Linked DNA regions of Tribolium castaneum. The main gene of each other region encodes a partner of the protein of the gene in region 4 in a complex. Links are inferred from orthologs where the notes say so. Each region holds a gene or a part of one and is shown on either strand. Other genes may lie near its edges. The genes, in order: Polr3I, Polr3F, Polr3K and Polr3C.

Region 1 (3,633 bases), on a different chromosome or scaffold from region 4:
AACCCGAAGACGCCATCAAAGCCCTCGGCGACTTCCAGCACGTCTCCCGCCCCGTTGCAATTTCCTTCAAAGAAATGACAACACTAATGCGCCAATGCCAACAAGTCGAAGACGGCAAATCGGTACACGACGAACTGGCCAAAAACATCACCGCGCACCCAATCGCCGGCCGGGGAATCCTCGCCAACAACCCGTTTGTCCTCCTCAGCGGCATCATCCCTGGTAATCCCCGGCAGTCGTACCAACCCAATTTTCCCAACACAGTCAATTTCAGGGACGAAGTGGTGCGGCACGGGCGACATCGCCAAGGACTACTACGACCTGGGGGCCGAGCCCACCGTTGATAAGTGCTGCAGAGCGCACGATTTGTGTCCCGTTAAAGTTAGGGCTTTTTCACAAAGATATAACATAACGAATGATTCGTTATACACGAAATCGCATTGTTTGTGCGACGATCAGCTGTATTCGTGTCTCAAGGAAAATCCCTCGCCCACGGCGCACATTATGGGGACCATTTATTTTAATTTAGTGCAAATCCCCTGCTTGGAGGATACGCAGCACGGGAAAGTGTTCAGGAAGCCGAAAGAGAGGTTCTAAGCTCAATCAAGTGCCTAATTTCAATAAATTATTTTAAGTAAAATGGCGTTTTATTTGGATTTGAATTTGGGTGCGTTGGTACGCCTGTCAGAAAATACAGACCCGTAGTTCGTGAACTGTACCACCTTACTGTTATTTTCGATTTTTTAACGTAACTCAAGTTAATATAACGCACTTTTGTGTTGGAAAATAGTGAAATAAGTGATAAAAATTTAAAAAAATCAAGTTATGATAAATTTTGGATTTGGTAGGTTGGTACGTAAATAGTGAAAAGCGGTAATAAAATATAAAAATCGGCAAAATTTCTATCATTTGGGCAATTTCGCACAATCGCATTTTATACAGGACCTTTGAGTTATCATAATATTTGAAATTGGTCCAATTTTCGCCCAACAAAAAATTAGGTTATGTCATATTTTCGCAGTAAAATTCAAGAAAAAACGCTCAATTTCATACTCATAGTGCCATTTGCTATGTTATGATCGACTTTATGTATCAACATTGGGGACAAGAAAATAATTGGGTGAAATAAAACTCAAAAAGTAAGGTTATGTCACTCAAACTTTATTTACAATTAGGAATTAAATAATACATATTTACAAAGACAAAGTCTCGATTTGTTTGATCAAGTCCATGTGTTTGAACTCGTCGGGGCGCTTGGTGAACCGCTCCATCAGTTCCAAGTGTGCTTCTGTGGGCCTTACGTAATACAATTGCAACTGATTTGCGAGACACTGGGCCTCCTTCAAATCAATAACATTCTTGTCGTACTCTCCTCGCATCAAGACGATTTTTTTCTCGTCCTTTAGTTCGGTGTAGTGCGTCATTGTGAGGCACTCGGGGGCGTTCTCCTTGTGCACCTGATAGTACAAAAGGGGGGTAAAGTGGACGCAGTTTCGCTCAAACTGCGACATTATAAACTCGTAACCCTCTTTGCGAGGCAAGGCGAAGAGAAACGTAGGGTATTGGCGCCCCCTTGCCTCCAGTTCGTTGTAATCTTCCACAGGGACAACCGCCGCAATGTAGTTCTTCTGTATGTGGTACTGGTGCCAAATCTCCTTAATTTCCTCCGGGGTTTTATCCTTAATTAAGTCAAGTTTCATGACTTTGTCTAAGGGGGCCTCCGAGGCCTCCACAGAACCGAGCGGTTTTTTCGGGTTTAATAGTTGCGAGAACTTGCCTTCAGTGATCGTTTCGGGCTTCTTTTTCGGGGCTTTGGCCTTCTTGAGTTCGTCCATTCGGGAGAGGAACTCCTGGGGGGAGGTTTTTTGTAGTTTGGCGATTTTGTCCGCGTATTTCTCGTAGTAGGCATTTTTGGAAAGCTCGTCCAAGGCCTTTTCGCACCGCGATTGGGTCGTCATCAGACCTCTTACGAATTTACAGGAGTATTTTGAAAAATATCGCAAAAAAGCTAGGTTAGGAAGCCTGGCCATACTTGTGACAAGTTTAGGGTTTTTTGGATTTGTCACCAATTTGTGGTTCAAAAATTATAAAAATAAAGCAATTTGCACTCTTAATTTTATTATTAAATGCGATGGAAATGTAAGACTAAGTTGCTACGTTTGAGTAACGTATTATTAAGGCGTGTTTTCAGTGTTAATGCAAACAGCGCGACTTTGAGTAATTTCGAGGTTATGAAACACCTACAACGGATTAAGGACAGCCGGAAAAAACACAAGGGGCAATTAGCGACGATTACGTATGAGGTGATTAGATTAAGTGGCCGTAAATGGGCCGACTTTCATTCATCAATTTTTTCGTAGACTTTGCGTTACTTGGAAAATACTCCTTGTGCCCAACAAAGCCCACAGTCAATTACTGAGTGTTTGAAGGACTTGGAGCCGTTTAATTTGAACAAAAATGAGAAATTAATGCTGATTAATTCGCCCCCTACGACGGCTTTAGAGATTCAATTGGTTGGTCTTACGCAAAATTTGACTATTTCTAAGTGTGTTTTCTAGATGATTGAAGAAAGTGAAGAAAGGCTCACGGAAGAACAAGTTGAGCAAATTTTACAGATCGTGCTTCAGCACTTCCCCCACATCCAAAAAAGCCAAGAAAACGAAACAACAGAGGAGCAGGAATAATTTTGTGATTGTATTAGGATAGTAAATAATAAAACACTGGCGTGAAAAACGACATAATGTATTGAGAATAAGTATAAATACACGAATTTATGATAAGTTATCGCTTTTGGTCACCCAAATCCTCAATCAAGTCCTCATCAATCTGCAACAAAAACAAGTGCCCCTATAACTAGTGACTTTTTTCGGTCAGTGTGGTACCTCTGGCCATTTTTCGGGAATCACATCAAACAAATCGTCCTTGACGTCCCCCTGGATCACAATTTCGTCCTCACCTGTGACTGAAGACCCACACGCAAACCTGGTCCCGAAAAATTTCGCCGCAACTTTCAGATCAATATCTACAAAAACGCGTCAAACAAGACACTCAGGGCCCCCTAACCCCCCTACCAAACCCACTAAGCCCCGTAACCACGGTAACCGACTTCTTCTTGCCGCGGGGGGCCCTCGACACACACACCTGCTTCGGCCCGTCCTCCTTCTTCTTCGTCTTGATCATGCCTTTACCCCCACGTTTCTGACGCTTTTTTTCCTCTTCAGCGCCACCTCCCTCGCCCGCCTCGTCCCCGATTTTCACTTTTTCGAACTCATCGGGCAAGTTACGCTCGAGCCATTGTTTGCATTTGTCATACTCGGGGTAATACTCGCAATACTGGGGCAAGAATTAGTTCGGAAGGTCTGAAGGGGCGACAACTAACCTCAATCGGCATCGAACAGTTGCCACAGTAGATCACTTGCAAGGGGTACGTCACCCCCGTTCTGGGGCCCATCTGGAGCTTCTCTTCCACCGACATTATGGCCAAAAAATGAAATTTTTGAGAAACAAACCTAACCCCAAAATAGACACGGTCGTGTAGATCTTGCGTTGGCGACACTGATTCACTAAGCACTGACACTATTTTTTCAAAAAATTTATTATTTTGGGCGATTAATTGAATACGGCTCAAGAAAT
Region 2 (3,668 bases), on a different chromosome or scaffold from region 4:
ACTATTCAACGCAAGGAGCACTAAAACCGGTCGTATAATAATTAAAATCAAGGGAGATGGGGGCTTTTACCCAGCGGCAGTGCGAAAATGTTGGGCAAGGGCCGGCTCAAGTAAAACATAAAGTGGCTCTGGGTCACCGTCACTGCCATGAACCACAGCTGCCACTTCGGCCCGAAAATCTTGGCCAAAGTGCGGGACAGGACGTGGAAAGCGGCGATAACGCAGCCCCCCAAAGCAAACCGCACTGTAATAAAAAATCACAATTTTTGTACTATTTTTCAACTTGATTACCGATATATTGCGCCCAAAATTTGTTAATTTCGAACAACTGCAAAAGCGAGACTATGGGGGCCACCAAAATCGAAATGAACAAGGGGCCGATGAACGTCCGCGGCACCACTCCGGGGAACTCCAAATGGTCGTACTAGAAACACAGTTATTTGTGGGCGAGACAAGGGGCGCCTACCTGAGACAGGTTCCACTTGTGGTACAAAATATCGTGCATGGCCTGTAAATTGAAGCTTTCCTCCACTTTGGTAAATGGGCAGTATACCAAATGGGCGGCGGCGATAATTAGCATTATTTGCACCATTTCGGGGGCTAATTTTTATCTACATTCTTGAATTTTGGACGAAAATAGATTCACCTAACCTACAATTTCAAATGAGCTGACGTAAATAAGCTAAATTTATTTTATCTCTTCGGTCCGGAACTGGGATCATTGTGCTGGGTTTGGGGTTTAGGGCGCCTTGAGACAATTTTACCATCAAATTACCAACAATAGGGGCAATTTTTATTATTTTGAAACGGTCGGACACGTAATTTGTTACGTAAACAATAATAAAAAGTGTGAATTTGAAGTGATTTTGAAGTGTGAATAAAACAAATTTTGTCTATTTATTATTATCCTACTTTATTTATTTCCTTTTCATTCCCATTTTTTCGAAACATCGGCATAATCACCGTCCGGGCTTTCGTAATTGTCGATAGCTGGCGTTTCCAAAGGCCCCTCGCTCTTAAAGGGCAATAATCTGAAATCAATCTGGACAAAAAAATATATTTTGCGAAAAAAAGCCCCAGTCACCTGCATTGCTTCCTGATACAACTCCTCCGACTCTTTCCGCAGCTCATCCAAGGCTTTTTGTTGCGCAAAGAAAATCCGGTCCAGCATTTGGACGTCCGTAAGATGCTCATTTTTCCGATAAGTGGCCCATTGTTTGTCCAAAAGTGCTCTTTGTTCCAATTCACTGTCAGAAAGTGCAGGCAAAGACCTCATCCTTGATTTTTTCTCATCTAACAGAGTGAGGGGCACTTCACACTCTTCGATAGGTTTGAACTGGCGCGCGTGCTTCTCCAATCGCCGGATTTGCTTCTCAATTTTCTTCTTCTTGCGGTCTTCTCGTGCTTTAATAACTGCAGGGTCTAGTTTTTTCTTCTTCTTCAAAGGCTCGGCCCTAGATAATTGGTGAATTGGGGGCCTCGTTTCGTTATTACTTACATGAGACATGGTGTTGCCCTAAAATTGAGAAAGACACTCGTTGCAATTCCCCGTCTTGGGCACGACTGGAGGGCTAGCCTAAAAAATGTCACAGTTAGTGCCAATTACTCCAAACTTATACCACACCTATTAAATGTGTTTATCAAAGACCAGGCGCTCATTTCTTGCCTTTTTTCCTAAAAAAAATCGGCAAAAATAGAAATAGGCCAAAATTTTGAGGTTAGAACATAACCTCACATAACCCCAAAAATGAGCCAAGCTACGAGTTCAAACAGCGAAGAGATAAGTAACGAAGACCGTTTACTGGAATTAGCCAAGGCCAAGCCTGAGGGGATTTCAAACGAGAACATAAAACAGGCAATTCCTAATTTACCCCTCGAAGAACTCGCCCTGATAATCAACAAGTGTTTAAAAAATGGGTTCGTGGGCGCAATCACCCCCTAATTCTATTCCTAACCAAAATTTTCAGTTCCTTGGAGTTGTTCAAGACCAAAGACAAGCTCCTCTACAAATACAAAGACTCGTCGAAGAAGCCCGCCATTCGGGGGGCCGACAACGAGGAAAAAGTCGTGTTTAAGATAATCGAAGAGGCTGGCAACAAGGGCATTTGGATTCGAGACATTCGCTTCAAGTCCAACCTCAACATGACGCAACTAAACAAAGTCCTCAAAAGTCTCGAGACGAAAAAAATAATCAAAGCCGTAAAGTCAGTCTCGGCCAGTAAGAAAAAAGTGTACATGTTGTACGACTTGGAGGCCGACAGTTCGGTCACGGGGGGCGCCTGGTACCAGGACCAGGACTTCGAGTCGGAGTTTGTGGACGTTTTGAGCCAACAGTGCTGCCGGTATTTGCGCCAGAAGTGGGAGGATGCGAACAGCATGGGGGGCGGCCCGCTCCTGGCCCGAAACCGGAGCTACGCCACGGCGCAAGACGTCCACAAATTTATTTCCGAGCTGGGGATTAGTAAAATTTCGCTGTCAGTGGACGATATTGAGAGCATTTTGTATACTGTTGTTTTGGATAATAACGCGGAGCGGATTGTGGCCACGAACGGCTCGTTTTTGTACCGAGCGGTCAATAAATTTATGCAAACACCTGGCATTGTGACAACCACTTGTGGGGTTTGCCCCATAGCCAGCAGGTGCGCCGATACCGGTTTTATTAACCCGAAAGTTTGTAATTATTTCACGGAATGGCTCGAATAAAGTGTTTCGCAACAAACTGGTGTTTTTTTTATCCCGTATTAATTAATTAAGGTTATGTTTGTGGGGGAACATAACCACAAAAAAGTGTGGAACATTTTGGTGGTCGCAGGTTTTTTAAATGTCCGTTCTTGGGCACAGCTTTTGGCAGTCACCTGCGCTCCGCGCATGCGCCGGAGCCCCGAAGCCGAAGAGGTTGTCTGTTTGTCATGAATGGTGTGAGAAACGCAATTTTATTGCGGAAATTTTCGGTTAGTTCGCTTTGAATCTCGCCATTTCATGTCAGATTTGGTTGCTAATCCATCAGTGTTGCGTTGTGTGTGTTGTAAATGTGGGAGCAATTCTGATTAGACTTGTTGTGGAGTCGTGAGTTTTCCCTCCAAATTGCGATGCCTCTTTTGAGGAGAAAGCCCTTCGAAAAAGCGCCGGTCCCGGAGGATATCCGCGATGACGAGGAAGTTTTCTACTGTGGGGCCACCAACGAGATTTTCCGGGATTACGAGTGAGTTTTTGCGGCGGGTTATTTGGAACGTGGTTGCTTTCAAACGCTTGACCTAACGGTCCACTGTACCTACGCCATCGACCTCAAATTTAACGCAATCGGAGATCGGAATCGATTCAACGCTTGGCTTTTCAGGGACTTCTCCGAGAGGATGTTCCTGTGCAATTCGATGATTTGGACATGTGCGATGACGGGAAAACCGAATTTAACGTATGCCGAGGCGCTGGAAAGCGAGGAAAACGCGAGGAAAAGCCTCAAAGAGTTCCCAGCTGAGCTCAAAATACCACTCCTGTACTTGGCGAGTCAGACAAAACGGACGTCCTTTGTTGACATGGCCGAAGACGTGTACTTGTTCACCAAAGACAGGTACTTTATCGGCGAAAACGTGGAAACCTCGTTCACGGAAACCAAGTGGAAGGACTCGCACGTGCTACAAGTCATACCGCCCCCAAACAAACAAACCAAA
Region 3 (3,283 bases), on a different chromosome or scaffold from region 4:
AGTCCTTCAAACCGTGCAGAAAAATAGCTTCAATCGTCATACACAGCGTGTTCGAAGCTTCGGTAACATCCTCAGCTTTATTGAGTCCATTTTCTTCAACTCCGCAATACTGTATCGCTTTCACACTATTCGACAAGTGATCCGTGATCGACTTCTTAATTAAATTGTCTTTATTACTCGACGTGTGCACACTTTTAAACAACTTATTCATGTTTGTTAATTAACCCGAACTTGTGCAAAATCGCAACAGTTTTATCAACCGCAATACCGTGTCGCACGATTGTGAACAAACCGCATTCTGATAAGTCAATAACGGTGGACGCACGTCGTCTCGAATCGTCAAGTCCTAAATTACCACCGTCAAAAACTGCACCAACCTGAGCCCACAAGTCTTGAAATTCGTTGATTGTTAACGAACTTGGCTCGTTGCTTAAATTGGCACTTGTGAGGGCCAAAGGGCGTCCCAAACCGCGGGCCAAAGCCCGAATAAAGTGATAATCGGGGATTCGAATCCCCACTTTAGCGTTAAAACTGAGTGACTTATCAAGTGTGCTTGCACTAGTCAGAATGACAGTCACTGGGCCTGGGAGCAGACTTTCGAGCAAACCTTGGGGCAAGTGCCCGATTTTGGCCCAAGCCTTCACCTGGGGGACGTCCCCGAGACAGATCGCCACAGGTTTGGCTTCGTTGCGCCCCTTAATGCTATAGAGTTTGTTAATTGAGGTTATGTTCGTCGCGTCACAGGCAAGTCCGTAGACGGTGTCCGTAGGGAGGGCGATCACGCGGCCCGACTTTAACAAATCAACGGCTAAAGCCTCAGCATGTGGGTCCCTGATGGGGACGTGCAATGCCATAGAAGCCCGCTTCGGGGAGAGTTTTTTGAAAAGGGGGGCGAAAAAACGCATCGCCTACTCTCGCCAGTTGTGGGCGCATTCGGGGTTGCAGCAGCGGTAGAAGTTGGTCATGGGCTCGTCAGCAGAGCGGGTCTGGACCTGGAGGAAGTAGGCGTGGGGGTGGCTGCATTCTGGACACGTTTCCGCTGTTACGTCGCAGTTTTTCCAGGCGTCTTCGCCGCCGAGCACGTCATCAACGGACTGAAAGCGTGACGGAGTTGGAACAATGATAGTGGGTTATTTGGGTTTTACCTTCACTTGGAAGTACGTGCGATTCGAGATTTTTCCACGAATGGGGAATGACACGGGGCAGATGCGACACGCAAAACCTAATCGGCCGCAGGTCTGTTGAGCGAATAGCAAATTTCCACAGAAAGGACAAAACACAACCATGACCCGTGATTATTATGATGAAATTCAACTTGAATTCACATGTGTCAAAAATTGACAATGACAGCGCACGGTGGGTTGGCAGCGCTGGGGCGAGGGCACCAACACAAAATTCGTATTCTATTTTATTTAAATTATAAATTATAACAAATATTCAGCCACTTACGGCCTTAGTTATTTTGTCAACTAATTACTTCACTAATTTGCTCCGCTTTTTATATAGTCGAATTAAATAAGACATATTTTCAATTAAAATAAACAAGGACAATTTTACAATGATTAATTTAATTTAAAATAATATGGTTCAAACATTTTCCTATACCACATTACTTAACTAAGTAATAAAAAAATTATAAGAATTACAAAGAAAAATAATTAAAAACGTTGTGTTTTATGGGTTGCCTATACTAAACTCGGTGGTATTGAGCACTTGGTTCATTTTGTTAATTTCGTTTTAAAGGTTTTGATTTTTATCTCTCTCGCTAAATGAGAATTCAATATAATTTTTTCAATTTTCCTGACAAAAAAAATAAACACTATGGTAATTGGTTCAAAATCATTAGGATAATTTACAAGGGCCGTAGCCAGCGTAGGGCCCCACAGGGCGAAGCCCTTCCTAAACAAATTTCAGGTCATACGTTTTATAAAAATTTAAATAGAGAAGTTTATAATATTTTTTTTTCTTTCTTTGTTATTACTTAAGTAAATTTTGAAATAGACATCATTTTAGCTATTTCAAAAACACCATAAACATGGATGTTTTTTATTTTTTAAAGTTGAAGCGACAGAGGGTCATCAGATGGACATGCAACATCAAGTATGCATTTTTTTTTTAAGAAAAATATATCTAGTAATAATTATTACTCCACTTGGATTTTGACTTATTTTTAGCAAAATTTAATAACAAACGAGAAAGGAAATTAAGCTTTATGAATTATGTTAGGGGAAATACCTACAAAATAACATACATCGTTTGGCAAAAGTATGAAGCTAATTGTTATGTGCCTAAACTATGTACTTTAAGAAAAACTAATTATTACATTATCAACTACTTTAAAAATATTTTTTTAATTCCTTTTAGTTTTCGATTTTTTTTTCAAATAGCACCCTACTACGGCAATTTATTTTTATATTATATTTATATTTTTTATATTATTTATATTTTGTTTTTCTTCGTTTGTTATGTATTTTTGATCCTTTATAAACTTCATTAATAATAATTTACCAACATGAGTACATTTAAATTTTCTTTGCCCTTCTATTATTCTATTCTACGAGGGTGGGATGATTAAGTCGTGGCCTCACATAGAAAATAATAATTTGGCCAAACATTTTTTGCTTTACTTTTCACTATAACCTCCTTCTAGTTATGTGCACTTGGTCAATCGGTGTTCCGAAGTCTTTATCCCATCCTTATGGGTCGATTCCGGTAACTCTTCAAAAAAATTGCTCTCTATAAGAGACCACGAATTAATCCATCCTTGTATTGATAATTCAGGGAGAAATAAGCCTCATTTAAAAAAAATACAAAAACTAATTTTTGACACTACAGAAGCGATATGTAGAAGATTTCTTATTACAGTTGAAATACTCAATACAGTCGTTCCTTTTTGATGTTTGATCATTGATCAATGATCATATTCTAACTCACACAGTGCACATTTCCTACAGTGCCGTACTGAGCCTCGGATTCGTGGAACACGGGCCCGGGTCCCGATGGCCCTTTCCTTTGTCTAAATACAAATTAAAAAAAAAATAAAAGTTATAATATTTTTTATTAGCCGTTAAAATTAGATTAGAAAGACAAAAAATTGTTTTGTCTGCTTATGAGTACCAAGACTTTTCAATCTCCCCAGAAAAAATAATTAGAAACGGTGGATTTTCTTTATATTACAGTTACACAGGTATAATACCTACCCAATAAATTACAATTGCCTAAAAACATCAGGTGTACAAACTAACATCAACGACTTCAATGTTTATGAATAAATAACTTTGTT
Region 4 (4,839 bases):
GTAGTTTTGTTTCACAGACGTAAATTTAAAAAATCTCTAATTCAAAAAAAAAAAACATACAGACTAAAAACTACAGATACTAACAATCTGCTAGGTTAATAATAGTCATTTACTAAGTGAAATATTGTAAATGCTTGGTAAAATAATCTAAATGCAAAGTGATAATTTTCTTTTAATGAGATTTTCTAAGAAATAATAATAGTAATTACTCCTAATAAAACATATACCTCCCTAAGTATCTAACATCCACTTGCTAAGGTAGATATTTGCTATGCTAGTCAAACAATTTTTGATGTAAAAATTTGATTAAAAACCTCTCTAAAAAATAAAAAGTAGTAGCCCCTCTTCTAATTAATAAAAAAAATTGATTTTTTTTTCTTAAATACTATAAATTATCTTCAGTTGAACTTATGTTTTCACACAGCGTTTATATTTATTTTTTACCTAACAATTACTATTTTCACCCAGCATTTAATTTATTCCAAAAAATTACTGGTAGCAGATGTTAAGTAAACCATATGAAAATGAATGATTTTCTGGCTTTCATAATCGTCAAAAAATAATCAATTGAAAGAGTACTTAAAATAATATTACTAAAGATTATATAAATTTAACAATGTGAGCTCCTATACAGACATGTGCGGACAGATATTTTGTCGGTTATTTATCCGCAATAATATTGTTCGGACAAATGTGCAGACGGCTAACCACGGCCAAAATATAAAAATAAGAAAAACTTACGTCAGATAATTGCTCGTCTGCCGCCCCCTGTGCCCTCATCCCCATAATAATCGTGTCAACACGTTGTTTCTTATCGATAATTCTCTTATGAACCAACCTTTCGTGATTTTTTCTAGTCATAATATTAAATAAAGTTTTATAACACAATTCTAGAGTCATTCGCACGATTTGGTCCAAGTTTGTATAAAACAAAGTGAAGCTTTTATTAGGACCATTACTGGTCGATTTTTTCAAATCCTGGACTTGCAAAAAATTCTCTTCCAGGAGCTGATAAGAGAGCCGTTTTGCTTCTTTAGCCGGAATCATTGCCAGTTGTTGAATCTGATCCGGTTCTATGTATTGTTTCGACTTAACAAGACGGAAAATCCGGGCGGCTTTAGTATCGAATTTTTCCAAAACTATCTGTTCCACAGTCTCCCATGCAAATTGAGTGAACGTCTCTTTCAGAAAAATTTGAAAAGAACCGCCACCTGCCTCTCCCGACTGTCTAATTAATTTAGAACTGTCTTGCTCTAAAAAAAAATATTTGGACTGGCAACAACTTTGACTAACGACTAATGACTAACCCAAGACATTAACGTATTGGTCAAAAAACGCCAAAAGGTGTTGATGAGTGGCTTGTTTCCTTACAAGGTCCCGAATTTCAACAATAGGGACTGGATTCGAGACCTCAGCCCAAGGCTGTGTCCTAATGTACATTTGTTGTAGCAAAAGTCTGACAAATTCACCCGCGTTTTCGTCAAACTTTTTAATAAAAGCATTCACAATTAATTTGTCTCTCATGTCTTGATGAAACCTATCGAAGTTAACAGTCCAGTAAACGCCCTGGTCAGGGAGAGAATCCACTGGTGCTTTATTGCTCTGAACTAAGGCAATTTGTTTAAAATCAATTGTCGGAGGTGCAAACTGTTCCGTCTCTTTTATCACTAAACTAGGAACAGGTTTATCTTCCATACTATACGGCAACCGTATCAAATATTGCGCGGCCAACAATGAAAAAAATTTTTCTCTTAAAGCTAAAATTGTCACGTTTTTGTTATGATCTTTTTTCAGTCTCTCAATCACTTTCAGGATTAATTCAGACGCCGTCCAGTAGCTCCGCTGTAGCAATTCTTCCATAATTAATTCACACTCAGTCCCAAATTTCTTTTTAATTAAATTAATGTATTTGGCGTAGCGCAACATTAATAAAACACGCTCATGTTGCAGTGTATAATTTGCAACGTTTTCATTGCGATTGGGGGTGAACGTGACCAATCTGTACTTTATTAAAATACATAAAGCTTCCTTGACCTACAATTAATAAAATAAGGGGCAAAAAGTGCACAGTTTCATTTAAAATACCTTAGATATGGGCAAATCTGTGTGCTTTTTGATGTACAGAAGGGGCACAGTTCCGTACTGAAACAAGTAAGTGCCCACCTTCTCGACCACGGGGCCGAAACGTTCGAGTAAAATAAGGGAAACTACCCTTCCGTATTGAATCGACATCGGGATCAAATAAAAAATATTGCAATGTGATTACTTAGAAAAAATTAGGTTAGGCTGCTTGTCAAAATGTAGAAATACAGGTTTCTTTGTTACCGGGAAAATAATCAGTGGTCCGTGGGTTTTAATTTAATTTAATTAGGAACTAATTTATTGTTTCTTAGTGCAAAGCAACCTAATTCGAATTACTTTAAGTTGGAATTAAAAGTTTCATTTGCTTCGTCTAGGCCATACACTTGTTATATATTTGGTTGCATAAGCAGTTTTTGAATCCTGAATAATAAACTTTTTTTATTGTTAAATATGCAAACGCTTGCCTAAATACATTTTTAAATCGGCAATCGAATTGATTTATTGTTAAAAAACCTGCCACAAGTCCATTAACTGATGTAAATTATTGGCAATAAATAATCCTAATTACATACAGGCATCGGGCCTTCAATTCAGTTTTGAAATTTTTCAATAATAATTTTGTAATTGAGTCTCGTGAAAAATTCATTAGGCATAGGCGCTAAGAAGGTGTAACCTCCATATGCAATTTTTAAATTGTTTACAAATAAGTTTATTAAAAATTTATAAGCAGAAGGTGATGATGAGGTGCGATTTATAGAAACAGATGCGTCGTCGGCTTGTGGGTTTACGAATCCATATTTATGAGATTGTTCATAATTCAATTAATTACAAATTATTCATATAATTTATGTCGTTTTGACTTTACCATTGTGCAACTCCGATGATGGTTTACTTATAAATTGTACTTGCAACTCGACTTTACTACTTTATTAAAAAAAACACGTGGACTTGTAGGTGGCTTAAATCACGACTACTCAAAACACAAATCCGCTTATTAAAAAATAAAGTAAATAAAATTTGAATAAACAAATTTAAGGTCACACATGTGAATAATTGCACAAAATGTTGGCTCCGCCACACCCTCAAATCGTTACTACAAAAAAGTCATAAACAAATGACATCAATTCAATTAGTAAATCAATATAAAAGTAGCAAGTCACGTAAAATAATCCAGAAAAAAATTTAATATCAAGTTTTTTAACCCAGTCATATACAGCAGGTCCATAAATTATTGCCTAAGTAGATGTGACAGGAAGGGGAGCTAGACGGCTTGGTAACAAAAACTGCACGCATGACAAATGATACCGGTCGATTTAAACCGAATTCCTTCATGCCATGAATAAACCGGCAGTGATTCTCAAAACCCACCACAAAAGAAGATTTAACATATTTTAACTCATTAAAAAAATATGAAACTGTGGTGGCTCCTAAACCTGAATATTTTACCCAAAGTAGCCTAAGACTTGAAATTAAGTTGGCAACGTTGACACGAAATTGAAGAGCCCAATGTTGCCAATTTAATTCGATCGTCGTAGGCCACTTGATGACAATGGCATTCTGATATGATCTGCGCCGCCCCCAAACTTAATTTAAATGTTTATTGAAGCATAAGTCGCCTGAAGAAAATATCATCGATCGCCTCGGAAGCTGCAGCAGCCTATGGAAAAGCTTACCTACTCCCACTCTCTTTTTGTGCTTTATCCTCCCGTGTATTCGATAGCGAAAGCGTGCTGTAGAAACAACTGAACATCGCTCACACAGCGTGTCTAGTCGCCGGTGGATTGTGATGTTCTAAATTTTCTCGTCTCGCCGTCTAGATCCTGTCAGAAATTTTAAAATTTCGACGTTTCATGTGACAGTGACAGCATCTAATGAATTAAAGTCACAGTGAATTTTATTTTACGAGCAAAAAATAATGAAATAACTAGAGTCGGTCTAAAGTGTCGTCTACCTGTACGAGGGGTAAGTGGGATTTTCTCTACTTAAATTATTTACCTAGAAGTCTAATGCCTGGCGAGTGGTTTTAATTAAATTTATAGTCCTGCATTTCTAAAAACCATAAAGATATAAAAGTGTCCTCGGTGAGTTATTGCTTGATAAAGACACTTTAATGAGTTGAAAAGTTAAGTAATATTTAAAATAAATTACTTTAATGTCTGTCATTAAACAATTTTCATTCCTCAAATTTCTGGTGCATTTTTCTGTACAAGTTAATTATGTTGTTCAAACCATACCGGTTACGTGTAGGGGAAATAGTAATTAAGCTCTCCAACCCCTTGACATCACGCCCTCGTCTGTATTGTCTAGACCTGAAGTTATTAGAACTAGTTGTTAACAAACCAAAAATATCTTCAAATCACGATAAACTGTCTTTTTCTTAAAAAAAACCTTATCTTTTTGGAATTAACTGATACCAATGTTTGCCCAAAAATATGGCTAAACAATCAAATGCCAGTTCCCTAAGTAAGGACTACATTTACTTTTAAACCAACATTTGCATACTGTAATTATAATAATTTAAATAATAATGATTAATCTGTCTATTAACTGGAGATTAAACTGTCTGGGCTTGTTTATTTATCTCCTGACACCTTTGAAATTAATGTATTGTTACATAATTAATTTGTTTAACAAGGAAAAATAGTCATTATTTTTTCTTTATAGTCGGATTATATGTTCTGTTGCTTTAATTAAACGAACAAATTGTATAATAATCGGCGAGAAATGAAGTTGTGTATAAACTTTTACAATGGCAAT

The links.
Region 1: Polr3C (region 4) and Polr3I share a complex: the UniProt entries of both Homo sapiens proteins name them as parts of the RNA polymerase III complex. The link is inferred for Tribolium castaneum from reciprocal best matches to the Homo sapiens genes POLR3C and CRCP.
Region 2: Polr3C (region 4) and Polr3F share a complex: the UniProt entries of both Homo sapiens proteins name them as parts of the RNA polymerase III complex. The link is inferred for Tribolium castaneum from reciprocal best matches to the Homo sapiens genes POLR3C and POLR3F.
Region 3: Polr3C (region 4) and Polr3K share a complex: the UniProt entries of both Homo sapiens proteins name them as parts of the RNA polymerase III complex. The link is inferred for Tribolium castaneum from reciprocal best matches to the Homo sapiens genes POLR3C and POLR3K.

Annotation. Positions count from the first base shown.
Region 1 is NC_087399.1:3,366,346-3,369,978, forward strand, and holds Polr3I (DNA-directed RNA polymerase III subunit RPC9), read left to right. Parts: upstream 1-2,030; 5' UTR 2,031-2,131; coding exon 2,132-2,139; intron 2,140-2,191; coding exon 2,192-2,303; intron 2,304-2,360; coding exon 2,361-2,513; intron 2,514-2,558; coding exon 2,559-2,684; 3' UTR 2,685-2,780; downstream 2,781-3,633. Other genes in the region: ATP synthase mitochondrial F1 complex assembly factor 1, read right to left, coding at 1,194-2,030; DENR (density-regulated protein homolog), read right to left, coding at 2,782-2,826, 2,883-3,022, 3,072-3,333, 3,380-3,475. UniProt on the Homo sapiens protein: DNA-dependent RNA polymerase catalyzes the transcription of DNA into RNA using the four ribonucleoside triphosphates as substrates.
Region 2 is NC_087396.1:20,820,914-20,824,581, reverse strand, and holds Polr3F (DNA-directed RNA polymerase III subunit RPC6), read left to right. Parts: upstream 1-1,747; coding exon 1,748-1,917; intron 1,918-1,967; coding exon 1,968-2,703; 3' UTR 2,704-2,719; downstream 2,720-3,668. Other genes in the region: Alg12 (dol-P-Man:Man(7)GlcNAc(2)-PP-Dol alpha-1,6-mannosyltransferase), read right to left, coding at 1-20, 71-244, 292-424, 467-592; mRpL40 (large ribosomal subunit protein mL40), read right to left, coding at 929-1,042, 1,085-1,454, 1,499-1,576, 1,625-1,659; Acf (bromodomain adjacent to zinc finger domain protein 1A), read left to right, coding at 3,090-3,202, 3,338-3,668. UniProt on the Homo sapiens protein: DNA-dependent RNA polymerase catalyzes the transcription of DNA into RNA using the four ribonucleoside triphosphates as substrates.
Region 3 is NC_087403.1:7,844,114-7,847,396, reverse strand, and holds Polr3K (DNA-directed RNA polymerase III subunit RPC10), read right to left. Parts: upstream 1,372-3,283; 5' UTR 1,287-1,371; coding exon 1,146-1,286; intron 1,095-1,145; coding exon 909-1,094; 3' UTR 906-908; downstream 1-905. Other genes in the region: Plekhm1 (pleckstrin homology domain-containing family M member 1), read right to left, coding at 1-211; Tcs1 (threonylcarbamoyl-AMP synthase), read right to left, coding at 204-905. UniProt on the Homo sapiens protein: Core component of RNA polymerase III (Pol III) which synthesizes small non-coding RNAs using the four ribonucleoside triphosphates as substrates. Can mediate Pol I proofreading of the nascent RNA transcript.
Region 4 is NC_087402.1:6,496,689-6,501,527, reverse strand, and holds the start of Polr3C (DNA-directed RNA polymerase III subunit RPC3), read right to left. Parts: upstream 3,468-4,839; 5' UTR 2,233-3,467; coding exon 2,086-2,232; intron 2,035-2,085; coding exon 1,308-2,034; intron 1,254-1,307; coding exon 742-1,253; intron 1-741. UniProt on the Homo sapiens protein: DNA-dependent RNA polymerase catalyzes the transcription of DNA into RNA using the four ribonucleoside triphosphates as substrates.